Linked DNA regions of Pelodiscus sinensis. The protein of the gene in region 2 interacts with the protein of the main gene of each other region in a pairwise test. Links are inferred from orthologs where the notes say so. Each region holds a gene or a part of one and is shown on either strand. Other genes may lie near its edges. The genes, in order: RAB39B and RUFY1.

Region 1 (10,195 bases), on a different chromosome or scaffold from region 2:
GACTCAGTGCTCTCCCACAGCCCATGTCATTTTGGGCCCTGATTCAGCAAAGCACTCAGCACACACTTCACTTTGACTGAGCCACTGGATAAAGTGGAGTTGCTCCTGTTTTGTATCAGAATAATTGAGGTCATACCCTGGGCCTGGCAGAGCTGTCCAGGTTGTGGAAATAGCTCTAACCCTAATCCAAAAAATAGCACAGCTACAAAACAGGAGGCCAGTAACTCCTCAGACACAATCATGAGAGCAAAGTGAGCTTATTTTCCCCTGTGTTCACTACCCATTTAAGCAAACAATGTAGGGAAGACCTGGAAGCCAGGGCTGGGCAGGAGGGCGTCAACAGGGCATCACTCTTCAGAAGCGATTCAACCTATGAAGAAAGTTTGGGTGCTACTGCAGTCTGGCCCTTCACCAGGGTGCTAGCATCATTCACTGGTACTAGCTTTCATACTCAAGTCTGAAAGGCCTGTGTCCCTCAAAGGGAAAAGAGATTAGAGCTAATAGATTGTAGAAATCGCCACAATACTGTAAAAAGGACCTCTCTCATATAAAAGCACATCACTGTTTTAAAGAAGAGACCTGTAGAGGAGCAAAAAAAGGACTTCTGTCTGTTTAATTCTTGATGCCATACAAAGATGACCTGGAACAGGGAGTTCAGTGGGTTGTTTTTAATATTGATTTTTTTTTCTGGTGCGTTTTATATTAGAAATTCAGGTCTTTGTCTCTTTGTCCTCCTGACAAGACTCTGGGGACAGGAGAACACTTTTTCTTCATCCTCGTAATAACACAGCCTGATTCTTAATCAGGGAAATGATAACAGCACCCAAGCCTGAAAGATGAGCAAAGGGAAGGGAAAGTGATTTTTGTCCGACTGTTTAAAATGCTTCCTTTTGGTTTCGTATTGCTTAATGCCAATGACTAAGAACACTTTTGGAAACAGGGCATCTTGCTTAAACTGAACCCTTCCCCCCCCCACACACACACCTACCCTACTCTTTCAAGAAAGGTAAGAGGGCTTCCCTTCCATATGATCTGTGACCCTATGAGAGGTCAGCTGGCCAAACCAGGGGTAAGCAGCCACAATATTTTTAGACTTTAAAGCAAGGAAAAAATATCGTAGTTGAAAAACCTTTCAAGCCATCTTTATGCAGCACAAAACATGAGGGGAGATGAGGAGTGGTGGGGAGTGCTAGCTTAAACTCATTCTTTAAAAAAGTCCTTAACGGGTAACCTTTAAATTCCAAGCTCTAACGATAGAGCCGGTAGCAAATGAACACTGGTAACTGCCCTCTCCCAATGGTATAAATCTGGTGTTTCTAGCCCTGAATGGATGCAAAATAATCAGACCTCACATATGTCACCAGCTAAGGTCTGAGTATTGTCCATCCTGGGTCACAGCCACAGTCATACGAGGGAGAGATTCAGCTACTGAAACATTCTGGATCAGACTAATAAAAAAATGGCAGCTTTTTGAAGCTGCTCCAAGGTTTGGAATGATGGAAGTGGCCACTTGGGAGATGGCTGAGTGAGCAGAGCGTGGGTGAAAGAGGTATGATAAATACAATCATCACATGGCTGCAATTTACCAGATGGTGCTGCAGTGAATCCCCTGGATAGCCCCCGCCCCCATATACTCCTTTTCTTTGCTAATGAAGTCAAGTTTGCTACCAATTAGCCTCTTAAATGACTAGTCCCCATTCAGTATTCACTGCTGCAGGCTGACACACACACACTACAGCAGTACCTGTATGTAGGAAGACAGCATTTCGTCACAGTCAGTCTAAATCCTTTATCTCCAACCCACAGTCAATAGACTTGAGTGAAAGCTGCTACACTTTTGACAATCAAGTTTCCATATTTAGATGCCTCATTTATGATCCTAGGAACCTAATTTTAGGCAGCCCAGTTTGAACACTTGGCTGCTATTTCTTTTCACCAGTCTGTTACATGCTCTTCCTTCATGTTCCTGCATACCCTACATTTTTTTATGTGACTAGCAAATTGCAGTGAATTTGTCTTGGCTTTCTCCACTTGGTGAACATTTATTTCTGCTCCCACATGCAGAGTTCAGTTTTGATTTATTTTCATTTGGGCCAGTGGGAGGCAAACAAGCCTTGTTATGTTTCAAAATCTTTCATTCATCCTCCGCTGCAGAGACAGGCTGTGTGTTTCTGTATAACTTGGGCAACCGTTAATACATGCTCAGAATGTGGATTTTGCCTACTACATCTTTGTGGGCTTAGCAGAAAGTTAAAGACAAAATCTTTATGCCATTGATTTCAACAGGACTTAGACATGAACAAAGCAAGCCAAATTGGCTCTAAAATGGAACTACATCTCAGTCTCCATGTTGCAATTTATAATTTTGGCTTGCTCAGAAGCACGGATCTTTAAAAATCCAGTCTGAGGATTGTAGGGATGGTACTACATCTTGCTACGCAAAAGCCTGTTTAGAAATTCCCTCTTACATAAAAGAGCATCAGTGGAGAAATAATTCATAATGACCTGGAGTGATCATATTTCAATGCACAAGCCCAAGCCAGCAGCATTAACTGTGCATTTCTTGGCTTCCAAGTGCCTGATTTCACAACCTTATTAACAATGATGATTTGTCTAATCAGAATTGTCCTGACTCTTTAGACTTCATTCACTCCCCCTCTGAGGCTTGAATGTATTGTTCTGCTGCATCAAAAGCCACAGCAGGCTCACTGAATGGAACCCTGCCTAGTTCTTTGTACAAAAGGCAAAGGCATCACAGAAAAAGGGAGAAAGGCGGCTAGCTAATTTCATCCAGTCTAGGCTGGCCAGCATCCCTCCCAAGGGCGGAAAGACAGATTCTCTCCACCTAGCACATTTTAAAAGCCAGCTCCCATCTCCGGCCAAGCTAAGGGCCAGGTGTCAGAGGGTTGCAGTGTATTAGGGCCTGTTCTGGGGCAGGCCTGCTGAGAGCCCCTGTCAGGTTAGCTTTGCTCTAGCAAGGGTTTGGCTTGTTTCCTTCCCTGGGCCAGGGCGGATGCTTGCCCAAGGCCGCCTAGGATTACAAGGGATGAGGGTCAAAACGGCCGCCTGGCTAGTCTGGTTCAGCCAAAATAACCAGGAGTCCTGGGGCACCTTAAAGACTGACACATTTATGGTTCCCTGGCCTGGAGCCCACTCCACAGATGCAAGGAGAGAGGGAGAACGGGCTGCGGGCGCTGCTACTAGAGGGCGCTGCCTGCACAGGGGCTTTGCTCCCAGACTAGGCGCCCCCCTCACCTCGCCCTCCTCCAGCAGCAGGTCTGTGAACTCGAAAGAGCCCGGGCGAGCTCGCTTCCCGGAGCAAGCGGAGCTACAGCCGTAAAGCCGCCCCTGCCCCGGCTCTCACCTGAATCGCTCCTGCCCGGCCGTGTCCCAAATCTGCAGCTTGATCCGTTTCCCCGGCTCAATCTCCACCAGCCGGGAGAAGAAATCCACGCCCACCGTGGGGTCCGAGACCTGGGCGAAGCGCCCCTCGGTGAAGCGGCGGATCAGGCAGGATTTGCCCACGGTGGAGTCCCCGATGACGATCAGGCGGAACTGATAGAGCCAGATCGCTTCCATGCTGCCCCCTGCGCCCGGCTCTGGCCTCGCTGGAGGGGGCTGGGTTAGCCCGGGCCTCGCCGGCTTGGCTCGCAGCCTGCCCGGGCACAGCGCTAGCGAGAGGCCAGCTGCGCGCCGCCCATGCCGAGCCGGGAGCGGGTGTCGGGGAGGCTCCCGCGGCCAGCAGGTGCCCCGCGGTGCGGCTCACAGTCCTGCAGCCAGACGTGCAGGCCCCCGGCAGAGGGCGCTGTGGGGACACTGCCCACCCGCGGGCGCCGGGCTCGCCGCAGCCGCTAGGGCTCTTCAGGCGACAAGTGCCAGCCCCACAAGGGCAGGTCTGCGTGGCCGCTGGCTGGCGGAGGAGCCTTCAGGGCGCCTGGCATCTACCTTCGCCTCCCGGGTCATGTCCTCTGGCTCCAGGGAAAGCTTCGCGGGGGTCTCGCTGCCCCCGCTTCTGCCCCACAGCCGCAAGCTGCCTCTGCCGGCAATGCAAAGGTCAGATGGGCTCCATGTGGCCCCGCACCAGCCCAGATTTCTCTCCGCGCCCGCTGGTTGTTTTGCGTTGTGATCAGGATGCGACGGGCGTTTTTTGGCCACTGATCCGTATTTCCTTTTGCAATGGCGGGGGAAGGCTTTTGTCTGTCATGGGAACGAGCTTAGCGATGGCCGGCTGTTTACAAAAGCAGGCGCGGGGTTGGCTGGCAGGGCCGGCTCCCCTTCGAGGGCTCCAGCCTTTTTCACGTTGTGTCAGTACAAAGATCTAGAGCTAAAACTCCGCCGCCTACGTCCAGGTCAGCAACGAAGGGTTCCAAGAAAGCGCTCTGATCCGCCCCCCTCACCAAAACAGAACCCACCTCGCGAAGATCTAAGCCTCCAGGCTCAGGGGATCCGATTTTGACTGAAAACAACAGCAACAACCCAATGCTAGAAGGCTTCCTAGGTTCCGTTATTCTGTCTCCAAGCAGAGAGGGGTTAGTCCTCAAGGGCACCTGGCTAGCTCTGGAGAAGAGGTTTCCTTTCCCTGCAGACAGAAGTGCTGCCCTTCCTGCAGCATGGACTTTAGTCGCAGAGATGCCCAGGGTTGTAAAGATGGAGAGCTGGTGAATAAGGGATGCTGGGGATCACAGAGCTGATGAAATGGCAGCAACATCAGCACCAAACACTCTGACTCATCATTGGCATCAGCAGCTACTGTAATCCGCAGGATAGGAGAGCAACTTCCTTCTGCCTTACTCTACCATATTGATTAGAAAAGAAGCTACCGGCCAAAAAATTAACACAACAAAGCGCCATAGTTTAGCTGAAGACAAAGGAAATTAGCAAACATATCAACTTGGTAAAATGGGATGGCACATTGTGCAAGGCTCAACCATCTAGAAATGCCAGCAGTGAACACCTAATATTATCATGATTTATTATTTCTATTTTGGGAATACCCATAATGTGATAGGTGCTGTCTTTATATGTAGAAGACAGTCCCTAGCCCCAAAAGAGCTCACCATCTAGATAATGATGCTTTTAACTAGATGGATAATGGAACACATTGTACTTGAAACAAAATAGCTACACTGGTATATCGTTGCAAATATTCACCCTTAAAACAAGCAGCCAATGAAAAACATATGAACAACTGGTTATTTAAGTGTCACAAAACTTAGCCAACTAATTGATTAAATTTAACCCCTTCTATTTTTAGCAATATTTTGAATGAGTATTCCCGTCTTCTACACCGTGCTGAGCAGAGTGAAGCAATAAACAATGATGTTTTGAGCACCATCAGACTGCTTAGTGCTGTGGAAACAAAGCCACAGAAACAAGTGTCTTACATTGTATATGTCATTTCATGCAGAAGAAGCAAACACCATATTATACGTTTAGAAGCAGATTCACCCATCACTTGCAATGCAGCCTTTTCAGGGGTGGTACATGGCAGCTTTTTAACACCACATAGGTGCATCATGCACCAAAACCATGTAGGACAGGACGATTTGATTATAAAATCAGCATAAAGACTGTCTTTAGTGTCCAGTGTTTGTACAGCACCTAGTACAGCAGCACACTGAGCATGACTGAACCCTGTAAAATGGAAAAAAGTATCCTGAAAATGACAAAAATGTTGCTAGAACTTGGTTAATAGCAAATCACGAAAAATTAAAATTTGGAAAGTGTGGACAATTGGTGAATAGTTTTGATGAAGAAAAAGGGGCATTTTTGCCTTTTTTCCCTCCAAAATTCTCTAACCTGATACGAAGTGATACCTTGAGAACAACTGTATTCAGGTGACATTGTAAGGGCATGTATTTAGGCAGCAAAAGTGAATTTCTTAAGTTGGAATTTTTCCAGGATACTTATTTGTGCTTATTTCTGTGAAAAACGTGAAGGTATTTTAATGTACTTTAAAATATAATTTATTAATTTAAAATATTTAACCAGGAAGTTCTTGTTTCAATAATATCTTGGGAATAGGGAAAAAGGATGGTTCAAGTAGCTACAGAAATGGGGCAACAGAGTGATATTAAAACCATTAATCAAAGTTAGCTTTACATTAATAGTAATATTGTATGCATATCAACTGTATTCCATCCAACACCTTCAAAGCATTTTGCAAACATGAATTAAGCCTCACAACAGGTCTTGCAGTTTATTATTACTGTTTTTATACATACACCCCCATGCATATTTTTCATTTGGTTTTTGCAGAAGGATGGTGACTCTAGTGCTGTAGCCTACAATTATTATTAGTCATTATTTTAGAGCACTTCAGCATGAAATAGCCACTTTAAAGCATTCCTAAAAGATAAAGACCTTGCCTGGGTCCTTACAGGATTCCTAGCACACAGCAGCTGAAGGACATGGCAAACAAAAGAGAAGGGGCAAATTAGGGCAAGGGTTACAATAATAAAACCATTGGGTTACTCAGCTCCAGAGTTGCTAGCGAGGTACCTGTAGTAACCTACTTCCTGTAAAAAAGAAATGTATCTAGAGGGTTATGAAGAAGGAGGAAGTGGCATCACGGAAAGTGACTGGAAAGATGCTCCACTAATGGGTTCCCACATCCAGAAAGCGGAACAGGTGTGAGAGTGGGTGAAGCTAACAAAGAGTCCCCAGAACCGGTATGATGTGCAGATGACTGCAAAAGGGCTAGGTGTGTGAGCCAGGGCTGAGCACGTAGTCTGACCACTGAGCTGCATTGAGTCTTTAACATGGTGGGAGAGAATCCTAAGGCATTCCCTGAGCCTAACCCTAACCCTAACCCTAACCCTCCCACAACCCAGATGAACATTTCTCATTGCAGCAAAATAAATCCCCCAACCTCCCAGGAATGTCACCTCATTAAGCGCTCTCGTCCTGCGAGTGTCCACCCATGATGCACCGCTCTCAACTACCCACGTTCCAGAGAGCCAAACCACTGACAAAGGAGCTCAGCTTTTCCTGCAGCCATGACACCTGGTCAGCTATGGGTGTTGTAAGTTGTGCGGTGGAACTGTACTGGTTTAGGCTGGAAAATTTAACAGCCCAGTGGCTGAATGTGTTTACATGGAAGATACTTATGCTGAAAATGAAACAGGCCCATTCTGAGGCTACATCTAGACTGGCATGATTTTCCGGAAATGCTTTTAACAGAAAAGTTTTCCGTTAAAAGCATTTTTGGAATAGAATATCTAGATTGGCATGGACGCTTTTCCGCAAAAGCACTTTTTGCGGAAAAGCATCCGTGGCCAATCTAGACGTGCTTTTCTGCAAAAAAGCCCCAATTGCCATTTTTTGATCAGGGCTTTTTGCGGAAAACAAATCTCAGCTGTCTACACTGGCACTTTTGTGCAGAAGTTTTGTGCAAAAGGGACTTTTGCCCAAATGGGAGCAGCATAGTATTTCCGCAAGAAGCACTGATTTCTTACAGTAGGAAGTCAGTGCTTTTGCAGAAATTCAAGCGGCCAGTGTAGACAGCTGGCAAGTTTTTCCGGAAAAGCGGCTGATTTTCCGGAAAAACTGGCCAGTCTAGAGACAGCCTGAATGTTTCTAGCTGTTATTGTGCAGCATTGGAGCCATGTTGGGCCCAGGCTATTAGATAAGGTAGATGAGGCAATGGCATTTTATTGGACCAACTTCCATTGATGAAAGCCATAGGCTTTTATAACAATGACAGATGGAATCGAACCTAGGACTTGTGGAGCTTAGTGCATGAGCCTGTACCACACCAGCTAAAAGCCTGCTGGCTCTTAGCTAAGGCTGTAGAGCAGACTCATTCTTCTCTCTTAAAGTGGTCTTGGTACTACTAAGGTGGGACAGTGCACCACACCCAGCAGGGTTACATTTCACACATCAGAGAGCTCTTCTTCAGGGCTGAAGAAGAGGAAGAGCTTTGTGTCTGCTCAAAACCCTGTTTCACATCAGACGTTGGTCCAATAGCTATTTACCTCGCCCGCCTTAGAATCATAGGATCATAGAGCTGGAAGAGACCTCAGAAGGTCATCAAGTCCAGCCCCCTGCCCAAGGCAGGACCAATCCCAACTAAATCAACCCAGCCAGGGTTTTCTTAAGCTGAGCCTTAAAAACTTCTGTGGATGGAGATTCCACCACCTCCTTAGGTAACCCATTCCAGTGCTTCACCACCCTCCTAGGCTATGTCTAGACTGCAAGCCTCTTTCGAAAGAGAGCATCTAGACTGCACGCGGAACTTTCGAAAGAGGAAGCCGCTTTTTCGAAAGAAAGCACCCAGTGAGTCTGGATGCTCTCTTTCGAAGAAGCCCTATTTACATTCAAGAACGCCTTCTTTCGAAAGAAGCACTTTTGAAAGAAGGCGTTCTTCCTCGTGAAATGAGGTTTACCGCTGTCGAAAGAAAAGCTGCGTTCTTTCGATTTAATTTAGAAAGAACGCGGCTGCAGTCTAGACGCAGGTGAAGTTTTTTCGGAAAAAGGCTACTTTTCCCGAAAAAAACCCTGAGTCTGGACACAGCCCTAGTGAAATAGTTTTTCCTAATATCCAACCTAGACCTCTCCCACTGTAACTTGAGACCATTGCTCCTTGTTCTGCCATCCGTCACTACTGTGAACAGCCTCTCTCCATCCTCTTTGGAACCTCCCTTCAGGAAGTTGAAGGCTGCTATCAAATCCCCCCTCACTCCTCTCTTTTGCAGACTAAACAAACCCAAATCCCTCAGTCTGTCCTCATAGGTCATGCGCTCCAGACCCCTAATCATTTGGTCACCCTCCACTGGACCCTCTCCAATGCGTCCACATCCTTTCTATAGTGGGGAGCCCAGAACTGGACACGATATTCCAGATGTGGTCTCACCAGAGCCGAATAAAGGGGAATAATCACTTCTCTGGATCTGCTGGCAATGCTCCTCCTAATGCACCCTAACATGCCATTAGCCTTGGTTACAAGGGCACACTGTTGACTCATATCCAGCTTCTCATCCACTGTAATCCCCAGGTCCTTTTCTGCAGAACTGCTACTTAGCCATTTGGTCCCCAGCCTGTAACTATGCTTGGGATTCTTCCATCCCAAGTGCAGGACTCTACACTTGTCTTTGTTGAATCTCATCAGATTTCTTTTGGCCCAATCCTCTAATCTGTCCAGGTCACTCTGGACCCTCTCCCTGCCATCAGGCGTCTCTACCTCTCTCCCTAGTTTAGCGTCATCTGCAAAGTTGCTGAGGGTGCAATCCATCCCCTCATTCAGGTCATTAATAAAAGATGTTGAACAAAACCAGTCCAAGAACAGATCCTTGGGGCACTCTGCTAGAAACCGACTGCCAGCCTGATATCGAGCCATTAATCACTACCCATTGGGCCCGACAGTTGAGCCAGCTTTCTATCCATCTTACAGTCCATGTATCCAATCCATATTCCCTTAACTTGCTGGCAAGAATATTGCAGGAGACCGTATCAAAAGCTTTGCTAAAGTCAAGGTATATCACATCCACTGACTTTCCCATGTCCACAGAGCCAGTTACCTCATCACAGAAGCTAATCAGATTGGTCAGGCATGACTTGCCCTTCGTGAGTCCGTGTTGACTATTCCTGATGACTTTTCCCTCTTCCAAGTTCTTGAGACAACAATTGTGAGCTTAGTGCCACCTTTCTCAGGGAAAGGTGAATTCTCTGTTTTAGGACCATGACACATACTTTATTGAGTCCAGCAAGCTTGCCCTCACACCGTTCAATAGATAACTTGCTTTGCCTTCTCCAGAAACTGTTAAGCAGCAAGTTGGCTCAAGCAGTGTTAATCTTCCTGTTACAAGTGCTATCCTATTTTCTCAAATGAAGCTGTTTTTCTTAGTGAGGCAGAGTAAGAGCTCCCTTAAACTTTGCTTAGCTTCTATGACCACGTCCACATGTGCATACCTTTGTCACAGGTCCTACACTTGATAAGTAACTCCCTTAATTATATATATATGTATACAAATATATATATATATATATATATATATATATATATATATATATATACTCCCTGCCTCTGTCATTTCCACTTCAATGCATCTGATGAATGCATATAAAATCATGAGTGGTGTGGAGAGGGTGAATAAAGAAAAGTTCTTCATTAGTTCCCATAATAAAAGGACTAGAGGACACCAAATGAAATTAACGAGTAGCAGGTTTAAAACTAATAAGTGAAAGTTCTTCTTCA
Region 2 (9,963 bases):
CAACACTCCACATAGCAGATGGAGGCTTCCCAAAGGTGACTTCTCAAAGAAGTAAATCAGGTTAGTTATGGCACTATCTATCTTTGGTAAAACCATGTTGCATAACATGTTTGTCTCTATACATTTAATTATTCTTTCACAATTTGTTCTAAAACTTTACATACTACTGAGATCAGACGAACTGGTCTATAATTACCTGGATCACTTTCCCCTCCTACCTCTTCCTTACATATGCATATGGCTTTCGCTATTTTCCAGTCATTTGGTACTATCCCTGGATAGACAGAATTGTTAAAAATCCTGGTTATCAGATTAGCAATCTCCCATGCCAATTTTTCAGTACTCTGGATTCAGCTATATATTTTTCTTCAACTTCAGATGTAGCAGTATTTCTGTACACTATCCATATCCCCTTCCAACCCTGGAGTTCTACAACAGACCTTAACACTATCACCACAGATCTTCTTTCATGATCAGATTCAGTTTTGTCCACACTATTACTTTGTATTTTTGAGGGGTTTACTAGATCTTTGATGTACAAAGCTACCTCCACCAATTTTACCTTTATTTGTGACTCTCCTAAAGAGCACATCTTCTTCAGGACTTTTATTCCAGTCATAACTGCTATTTCACAATGTGTCTGTAAGTCCCTAAAATGTCTAATTTGACCTGAACCAGTAGTTCCAGTTCCTCCATTTTATTGGCAAGACTTACTGAATTTAAGGATCTGAGTTTCTCCGAGACCTCACCCAGTTTTCCATCTGGGAATGCAGTGCTATTTAAAAACGTCACACATCTTTATATATTACCAAAGTAATCATGGTTACTTGCTCCTCAAATGGCAAATCTGTAAAGATTTGAAATTTCTGTGGCAGAATTTGTGTGCAAATCTGTGAAGATCTGAAATGTGTGGCAGGAGTTGTATAGCTGCTAAGCTTTAATACTCTGGAGACATCCCATTAATTTCATTACATTGCTCTGTAAGGGTGGCATATACAATTTTAATAACTACACACAGAACCCCATTTAAGCCTGGTCTACACTATAGCATAAGATTGAAATAGGATACCCAACTTTAGCTACATTAATTATTTAGCTGAAGTTGACATCTTAAATTGAGTTTCTGCACAGTGGAAGGCCAATGGGCAGTGGGGTGGATCCTCCAGTGGCCTAATGGGTAAAGTGCTGGTCTCCAGTGTCTGGGGTTGGGAACTTGATTCACACCTCTCACTCGCCCAGGGAACAGAGAGGCAGCAACATGGAGGGAAGGGGGGCACGCCATAGCCGATATATGTGGGGAGCCAGCTTTTAAGCAGCTGGCAGGCAGGAGCCAGCGCTGGGGGAGTGCTACCTCAAAAGGCAGCTCTCCCCAGCACCAGCTCCATTGTGCCATCTCATGGGGCAGGGGCAGGGGAGACTGCAAAGCAACCTCTGTCCACAGCAAGCCTGGGCTTGCAAGCTTGATCACAGAGGCCTGCAGCAGCAGCCCCTGTCTGCAGGGAGCTCAAACCCCATGAACAGGGGCTACTGCCACCTCATGCTGTTACCAATGTATCAGAGGCAGCAGCGCAGGGCAGCAGGCAGCCGGCCTGTGCAGTGAGGGGCTGGTTTTTAAACTGTCTTCCCTTGTGGACTGGCTCCTGCCTGCCATCTTCTGCTGATATAGAAGCAGCAGCATGGGGTGACAGAGGGCTCACTGGCTGCTGGCCCTGCCCTTGGGGACAATTGAATAGTTGTGTAATCACTAAGATTTCATGCAGTTACACGATTATTCAATTACGCAATACATTCCTATTTTTCCGTTTACTGTGCAATTGAGAGCACTATCAGTATTCATGTTCACTGTACCCCACCCTCTAGTTGGTTCTCTCTGTGTACACTAAAACGGAAGGGAAGTTACATAAAAAAGCTAAATATGAATGTTTGTCTTTTAGGTAGGACTTGAACTGTGTTAGATCAGCCTGCCAGGGGACAGAGCTTTCAGTAAGTACAATAGACTATGACACTTCAGGGTCACCTCAGAATCTGATACCTCAATATAGAAATCCTAGATAGAGAGGTGAGCCCTCTTAGAGAATGTAGATAGAGACTTCATGTCCTGCCTTTATCCCCTATGCCTGGGACTATTTTGTCTCTTTTAAATTAATGTTGCATTTAATCTGCAATGTTGGAAGATTTCCAGTTCTTCTGATTTTGTCTGGTAATTTTTGGAAGATTGACAAGAAACACTAGCTAATAGATGCAGCAGTAAACACTACAGAGAAAGTGACATCCTGACCCTACTGAAATCACTGGCAAAACTCCCTTAGACTTCAGTGGAGCAAAGATTATACAGGCAGTCCCCGAGTTACGCGGATCCGACTTATGTCGGATCCGCAGTTACGAACAGGGATTTTCTCGCTCCGGAGGACTGGAGCGGCGGGACGCCTGGTCCCGCCGCCTGCCTCCTCCGGGGCGAGAAAAGCTGCTCCCCGTCTCCCTGGTCTGCTGGGGGAACCAGCAGACCAGGGAGACGGGGAGCAAAGCGGCGGAGGACCCGGGCCGGACCCACGGCGCTGATCTGGAAGCGCCGCGGGTCCGGCCCGGGTCCTCCGCCACTTTGCTCAGCGTCTCCCTGGTCTGTAGACCAGAGAGACGCTGAGCAAAGCCACGGAGGACCTGGGCCGGACCGCGGCGCTGATCTGGAAGCGCCGCGGTCCGGCCCGGGTCCTCCGCCGCTTTGCTCCGCGTCTCCCTGGTCTGCTGGAGGGGGGGGGGACGCAGCTAGTGCCCCTCCCCAGCAGACCAGGGAGACGTGGAGCAAAGCCCGGGGCCTGTGGTAGAGCAGGTGGGGCGCTGCCGGTTGATCCCGCAGCACCGCTCCTTGGCGCTACTGGACCAACCCGGCAGCATCCCAGCTGCTCTGCCCCAGGCGTCCCCAAGTCAGCCGCTGCTGAAACTGACCAGCGGCTGACTACAGGAAGCCCGAGGCAGAGTTGCTCTGCCCCGGGCTTCCTGGAATCAGCTGCTGATCAGTTTCAGCAGCAGCTGACTTGAGGACGCCTGGGGTTCTTAAGTTGAATCTGTATGTAAGTCGGAACTGGTGTCCAGATTCAGCTGCTCTTGAAACTGATCAGTTTCAGCAGCGGCTGAATCTGGATGCCAGTTCCGACTTACATACAGATTCAACTTAAGAACAAACCTACAGTCCCTATCTTGTATGTAACCTGGGGACTGCCTGTACTTATTAAGCAGATTTAAGTTCTGCAAGGACATCCATAAATGTTTGCTAATAAACTATTCAGTTTTTATTAATATTTTTCTAAAATATACATAATTTTAATATATTATTATTAGATTTTTACATCTCTTATTTTATAATTGCTTCATGATGTTTCAATACTGTGTGAATGAGGGAGACAGATTAATGTGATTCGAAAGCAATATATATAGTTTCCTTGTTCTAGTCAGCCCAGCTGTAAGTAAAGAAAGAGACCATACTAGACACTGTTGCGGTCATGCTACATGTAAGCTGAACTTTTCTGGGTAAGTTAGAAAGAAAAATGTATAAAATAAAAAGCCATCCTCCCAAAAATATCAAAAGGTTATGTTTTCCCTGAGCATGTAAAAGTTCGCTGAGATTTGTTCTCTGGGTTCAAAAGTACTTTGCATAAATCATTACAGTATCCACAGGGGATAGGTTTTTTTAAATAAATGCAAAGTAATAATGCATCTCTGACACTTGCAGATTATAACTAACTTATTTGTACACAGTACAAGGAAGTTTACTGAATAAACATAATCATACTTGTTTTTGTTGTGTTGTCATTGCTGACTGGTTTGGGTACGAGTCCTATCAAAGCTGCAGACTTCAGAGCGTTGCCATAGCTCACTGCTAAGTTTTCTGAAGCTTTCTTGGCCAGTGAAAAGATGGGAGCAGACCATCCCGATTCTTCAACAGCTTTTTCTTTCACCTCGTTTTTCAACTCAGTTACATTAGGAATCAGGTTTCTGTCAATTATTTCAAAATCTTCTTTCTGTTTCACAGCAGATGCATTGCAACTCTCTCCTTCAGCCATCTTTAAAATGTCATATGACACTAGTCATGAGCAATCGAGTTAAGCAGAAACTCCCTGCTCTGTAGGTGATAGGAGTTGTTTCATGACAAAAGTGCTGTGCGTGGTTACACAACAACCAGTCGCATGAGCAAAAGTGTCAGATACTAAACATCCTGATTGTGATATGCTCCAAATTATAGCCACAGCTAGTATATTTTCTGGTTACTGATTATCACAACAAATGATACTCTGTTAGATATTGTATAGTGAATGTCCTTTTATATTATTACAATTCTTATTTGTAGCTTTCTGAAAAACCCAATGCAGCCTCTGTACTTCTACACAATATTTTAAGTTAGCATTTTCCCAGAGTATATGAAGTCACAGATTTTGCAGCATTTAAAAAACACATTGAGTCTTTTGAGACTGGATTGTCTTTTCTAAAACGGGACCATCATAACCTAGAAAAGAGTATTGAAAGAAATTACTATATATTATGAAGAGTTTGTTTGTGGATTTGTTTGTGCAAAATAAAGTCATATCCCGATTACCTACAGATACCAAAATTTACATAAACAATCCTGCCACTGAAATGATCTGAATGCACTACTTTTTACACTGGAATATGATGGGTGAAAGGTTTAAATCAGTGTTATTCAAATGGCAAACCGCACCAATGGGGGTACGTCTGCACTGCAACACTATTTTGAAATAAATGGTGCTATTCTGAAATATCTTAGTCCGCGTCTACTCAGCAGGCAGTTATTTCAATAGTGTCAAAATACTGTCAAGCTTGAGGACTTTTTACTCTGACTCCTGTAACCCTCATTGTATGAGGAATAAGGGAAGTCATTAGAAAAGTACTCAAGTTAAGCCTTGCAGTGTAGACATACTCTGGGAGCCGTGAGGCTCTGTAGCTGTGGAGCTAATAAATACACAAACTGGAGCAGCCTGGTATCAGCTTTCTCAGAGTGGGTTCACAGACCACTTTGAGAAACACTGGTTTAAATAGTAATTTTTGGTTTTCATTGGAAAAAAGTCATGACTATTATTATTAGAGTCTATAAAAAATATTTGCTAACAAAATTAAAATCGAGTCGCCTATTCAACTGTCATTTTAGTGCAAAGAAAATTTTTATTGTTACAAATCACAACATAATTCAGATTAGTTATGGAAAGAGTAATGGAAGCTGTATAAGTTTCTGATTCAAATTTACTATGTGTAGTGATTATTCAAGAAAATGAATAATGTTTGAAGTTGAAATCCTACAAATTCAAAACTATTATGTTACTTCCCTTTTGTAAGTACATTAATAAAAAAATCTATTACATATATTTAATTTCTTGAACTTCCTGTAAGTGTAATCTACGCAAAAACGCACCTGGTCAATGTTGGGCCTCACCTTAAGTTTCTTATATATTTTTGAAAGTGAAGTATGCTTCCCTGCAGCATCTACACTACAAAAATAGCCATATTTAAGCAGAGTTGGGAAACATGGCTGCAGCTTAGCCACGATACAACTAGAGATATTAAAAAGTAGGTAATCAGGTACCGTATATTATACTGCTGATACAGAGGCAGCAGTGCGGGGCAGCAGCTGGTGAACGCTGGAAGGTGGCTTAAAAGCATGTACCAGCTCCCAGCTTCCATCCCACTCCCAGAGAGCTGGTTGCTACCCTGCACTGAAGGCTCTAATATAGAGCCAGCTGTGCAGGGTGGCAGCTGGCTTCCTGGGAGCCAAAACTTTATTGGTTAACCGAGTAAACAGTTATCCTATTACATCCCTAGTTACAACATGTCTGTGTGGACAGAAAGGACATATTATAATGATTTTGAGGCAATCAACAAACCTGATCCTGATTAGAAAAATGTGACCTCGCAAATTATCTATTTAGACTAAAACACAGTGCCTTAATATGTCCGTAACATGCAGTTTTCTGTCCAGCAGCAACTATATAACACAGCTGGACTACAGCTTGTTTAAACTTGTCTTAATTATGGTTGATTTCCCTCCCCTGATTCTATACGGTTATTTTTGTTGGATAGTCCTAGGAAATATTTTGTTTGGTGGAAGCTAAAGGACAGGGACAGGTAGGTAATTGGGGACCTCTTGTTACCAACAAACTTGGTAACAAAAGAAATACATCTTTAGGCTAGAACAAGTCCCTTATCTTTTGTTTATTTATTTATTTTTGTTTCTACTTTAAAGTTTTTTATTTGATGCAAAAGAGAGGTGCCAAGCTATAAGGAGAGTTATAGAAGTTTCATTGGGGTGTGTTTACACAGCAGGGCTTATCTCGAAATAAGCTACGCAAATTGAGCTTATTTTGAAATAGCAAAACTTTGTAGCTTATTTTGAAATAGCTTATTTCAAAATTGGGAGCATCTACATAGCACTTATTTTGAAATACAGCACTCTTCCTTTGACTTCCCTTACTCCTCAGACAATGAGGGTTACAGGAGTTAGAATAAGAAGTCCTCCATCTATTTTGACATTATTTCAAAATAACTGCCTGCTGTGTAGATGTGGACCAAGCTATTTCGAAATAAAGCCAGTTATTTCGAACTAGTGTTGCTGTGTAGATGTATCCTTAGTAAGCACAGCATATTTAATAGATAATGGTTAGACAAGACTGATAACAGTGGGGGGAAAGGAAAGAAGCTAGTCATCATGTCCTGTTGTGAAGTAGAGAGTCTTTTTGATCTGGTTAACTTTTGTAAATTAGAAAGATTGGGGCCAGACTGAGGCCCTTTTGTCCCAGGGAAATCTGCTAGAGGGATCTGAGGGAAGGAGTCTGACCATTTCTGTTCTGACCATTACTGATACTATTGAGGCATGCTGGTGAGTGGATGGCCTGTGGTATTGGTGAAACAATGTAACTTCTCCTTCCAGGGCCCATCCTCTGCACCAGTTTTTCTCAACCAGTGGTATGAGTACCCTCAGGGATACTCAAGAGAAGTCTGGGAGGTACATCAACACAACTGAAATTTAGAGAAAACTGAATTTTTGTTTTAAGTTTTACAGTGCTTTATTATTTTTGTACTTTTTACACCCAAAAACTTCATTGCCCGCCCAGCTACGATTAAGTTGTTTAAACAAATGTGTTGCAATGGTAGAAAAAAAATATGTGGGTCTGAAAACTGTAGGTACTGGGGGTACTTATAACTTTTTTTAAGGGAGTACTTATGAATTTTTTTTTGAAAAAGGAGTACTTTATAAAAAAAGGGTTGAGAAATACTGCTCTGCACAATGCTTCTGAGAATGGTGAGTGTGGTGCCAGGGTGGTGGATGAACCAACCCTCTCATAAAGGGAAGGAGAGAGATGTGTATATGTAGATGTATGGAACGCAGTCTGGTCCCAAATATGTGTCTTCCTAACATTTTTTATATAAACTACTGTTCTGCTCTCAGGTACTGTAAAAATGTAAAATTCCACAATTAACTTATTTTCCACAAAACAAATCGCAACTCCTAAGTGTCTGTGAAGGATAAGAGAACCTCTGAACTGAAGTCTGAAGTCCATTATTCACCCAGGATTTATTCAGACTATAGGCTCACTGTTCAGCAGCAGGGTTACAACCATATGTTTTGCACTCCATCTAGTGGGATGAAATGGTATTTGGCACAGTGTCCATGTGTTTGTTTTTTATGGAAAGTAGGACAAAGGACATTTGTTTTGCAATAGTTGTATAAGCCCTAGTCCTGCAATTGACAGTATGGTCAGGGCCTCATAGATTTCATTTTGGGCTCCCCATTAGGTGCAGAGGTCATGTTCTGAGTCAGTTAACAGGAGCAGAACCCCATAGGACTAAGGAAGTCAAACAAGTGTGATATTTCCAAAGACCTTTGATTATATGTCCTCTCAACTGAACTATATGTAAATAAAACTAAATAGATTTCTACTTTCAATAAAGTGGAAGCAGAACAGGGAGGTGGAGGGGAAATAGAAGGCAGAGATTCCTTCCCTTCCTCCTCATTTGCTGTTTCCAACAACTAATGTGTCTGGCAGACACAGATTAATATTACAGTACATACATTCAGTAGCAAAAATATTAACTGGAAGTAAGACACAAACAACAAAAGAATATATGTCCCCTTAAAATAAGAGAAAATGAAAAACTCAAAAAGAAACATGAAAGAGTACAGTGAGATAATAGCAGAACATTTTATTTCAATCTTCCATCATTTGAGCTCAGAAAAGAGCTATTTTACCATGTCCAAGACTACTAACATTCATCCTGCATAGTTTTATATTTTTAAAGTAATGAATAGAACCCAGTTATCTGTATAGCAAAAGTGAATTTAAAGTTAATAAGTCAACTATGGAAATAGCATTAAACAATTCCCCGTTTTTTGGAGGCCAGAGTCCTTTTGGGGCATGTCTACACAGCAGGGCTAAAGCTAAAATTGCGTAGCTTAAGTCAAAATAGCTTATTTCGGCTTTTGATGCTGTCTATGCATCAGGAAGTCAGAGCAAGAGCACTCTTCCTCCAACTTCCCTTACTCCTCATAAAATGAAGGTTACAGGAGTCAGAAAAAGAAGTTCTCCAGCTCAACATTATTTTGATATTATGTTGAAATAACTGCTTGTAGTGTAGATATGGATTATGTTATTTTGGAATAATGTCAGTTATTCTAAAATAACACTGCTGTGTAGACGTAACCGTAATGATATAAGCAACCTGAAATGCTAGGAGTGTTCTAGTTAAGTTCAAATTCCCGTGGAAATTTGAAAGCAACTCAGCATGTTTTAGTGTGGTCAGGCTTTAGCAGAATTGCTGGTATATCACATACTCAGAATAAATTACTATTTGTTTCATATAGCAGGTTGTTACAGTTTATTTTGTTTCAAACCTTTGTTTAATAGCAGGGGCATTAAACCTGGGCTGTGCTTCCGCTGAAAGTTCCCTTTGTTGATACAGATCCCAAAGAGAGTGCAGCGCTTCTGCATGGTCCCCTTCTGCTGTTACATTTTATTTCAGTATTCACCTCTGCCACAGATTGTTAGTGCAGCTCTTACTCTCTGTTTGAAGGCAGAACACAGTTTTCTTCTGACAGCTCATTAAGTTGCCTAGCAAGGTTGCTGAAGAATATAGAGGTCATGCCTGTTCCGTAAGTATCTGTCCTGTTTCTACTTGCCCTGATGTAGAAATCTGCCAGATGCTTCTGAACATGGGCTGCTGTAACAGCCTATCTTTGATACTACTGGAACCAGGTTCTGGTTTCACACAGCTCTTACGTCTCACTGTTGTGTTTTACTATATTTAAAAATACTGTTTTAGATATCAAAATCATACATATGATAATGGAGGGTAACAAGATATATGCTTATTATGGATTCCCAACTTTTATCCCTAAATTACATACTTAGGGATATCTGAAAAAAATATTCACAGGTTTAAACTTTAAGAGGATGACTTATATCAGCGGTGCGCAACCCATGGGTCGTGGCTGTCTTAGGGGGGTCGCAACGCCTTGATCCGGATTGACTGGTATTTTCTTTTCCTGGCTCAGTGCCCATAAATGTGGCGGGGGTGAGGGGAGTGGCAGGAGCAGAGCAGAGCGGCAATTAAAGGGGTCGAGTTTTTTTTTCTCAATGAAAATTTTTCCAGACCCCTTTTATTGGGTCCGGGGGTCGCGAATGCATCAAGGTTGCGTACCACTGACTTATATCAACTGCACTGATCTTCAGTGACATTTAAAAGGATGGAGAAAGTATCACTGACTGAAGTATCACTTAATGTAATTTTACATAAACAGATTCTTCTAGTTCAATTTTTTTCTAGTTCCTTTCTTGAGCTTTAATCTGACATTCAGTAATACAGATTGTAAAAGGTATATTTTTGCTATGGAAAGTAGCCTGATATTTATCAAATGCATCATTCACTTAGTTTCAGTATCTACTAAAGGATGAAATTGTTTTA

The links.
Region 1: the proteins of RUFY1 (region 2) and RAB39B interact in binary tests that used the Homo sapiens proteins (3 or more experiments, as listed by UniProt). The two-hybrid records come from large-scale screens. The link is inferred for Pelodiscus sinensis from reciprocal best matches to the Homo sapiens genes RUFY1 and RAB39B.

What each region holds. Positions count from the first base shown.
Region 1 is NC_134723.1:29,302,006-29,312,200, reverse strand, and holds the start of RAB39B (ras-related protein Rab-39B), read right to left. Parts: upstream 4,732-10,195; 5' UTR 3,580-4,731; coding exon 3,365-3,579; intron 1-3,364. UniProt on the Homo sapiens protein: The small GTPases Rab are key regulators of intracellular membrane trafficking, from the formation of transport vesicles to their fusion with membranes.
Region 2 is NC_134727.1:34,041,415-34,051,377, reverse strand, and holds the start of RUFY1 (RUN and FYVE domain-containing protein 1), read right to left. Parts: upstream 4,087-9,963; 5' UTR 4,059-4,086; coding exon 3,788-4,058; intron 1,984-3,787; exon of another isoform or gene 1,935-1,983; intron 61-1,934; exon of another isoform or gene 1-60. Other genes in the region: uncharacterized protein LOC142818742, read left to right, coding at 9,141-9,151. UniProt on the Homo sapiens protein: Activating adapter involved in cargo sorting from early/recycling endosomes. Regulates retrieval of proteins from endosomes to the trans-Golgi network through interaction with the dynein-dynactin complex.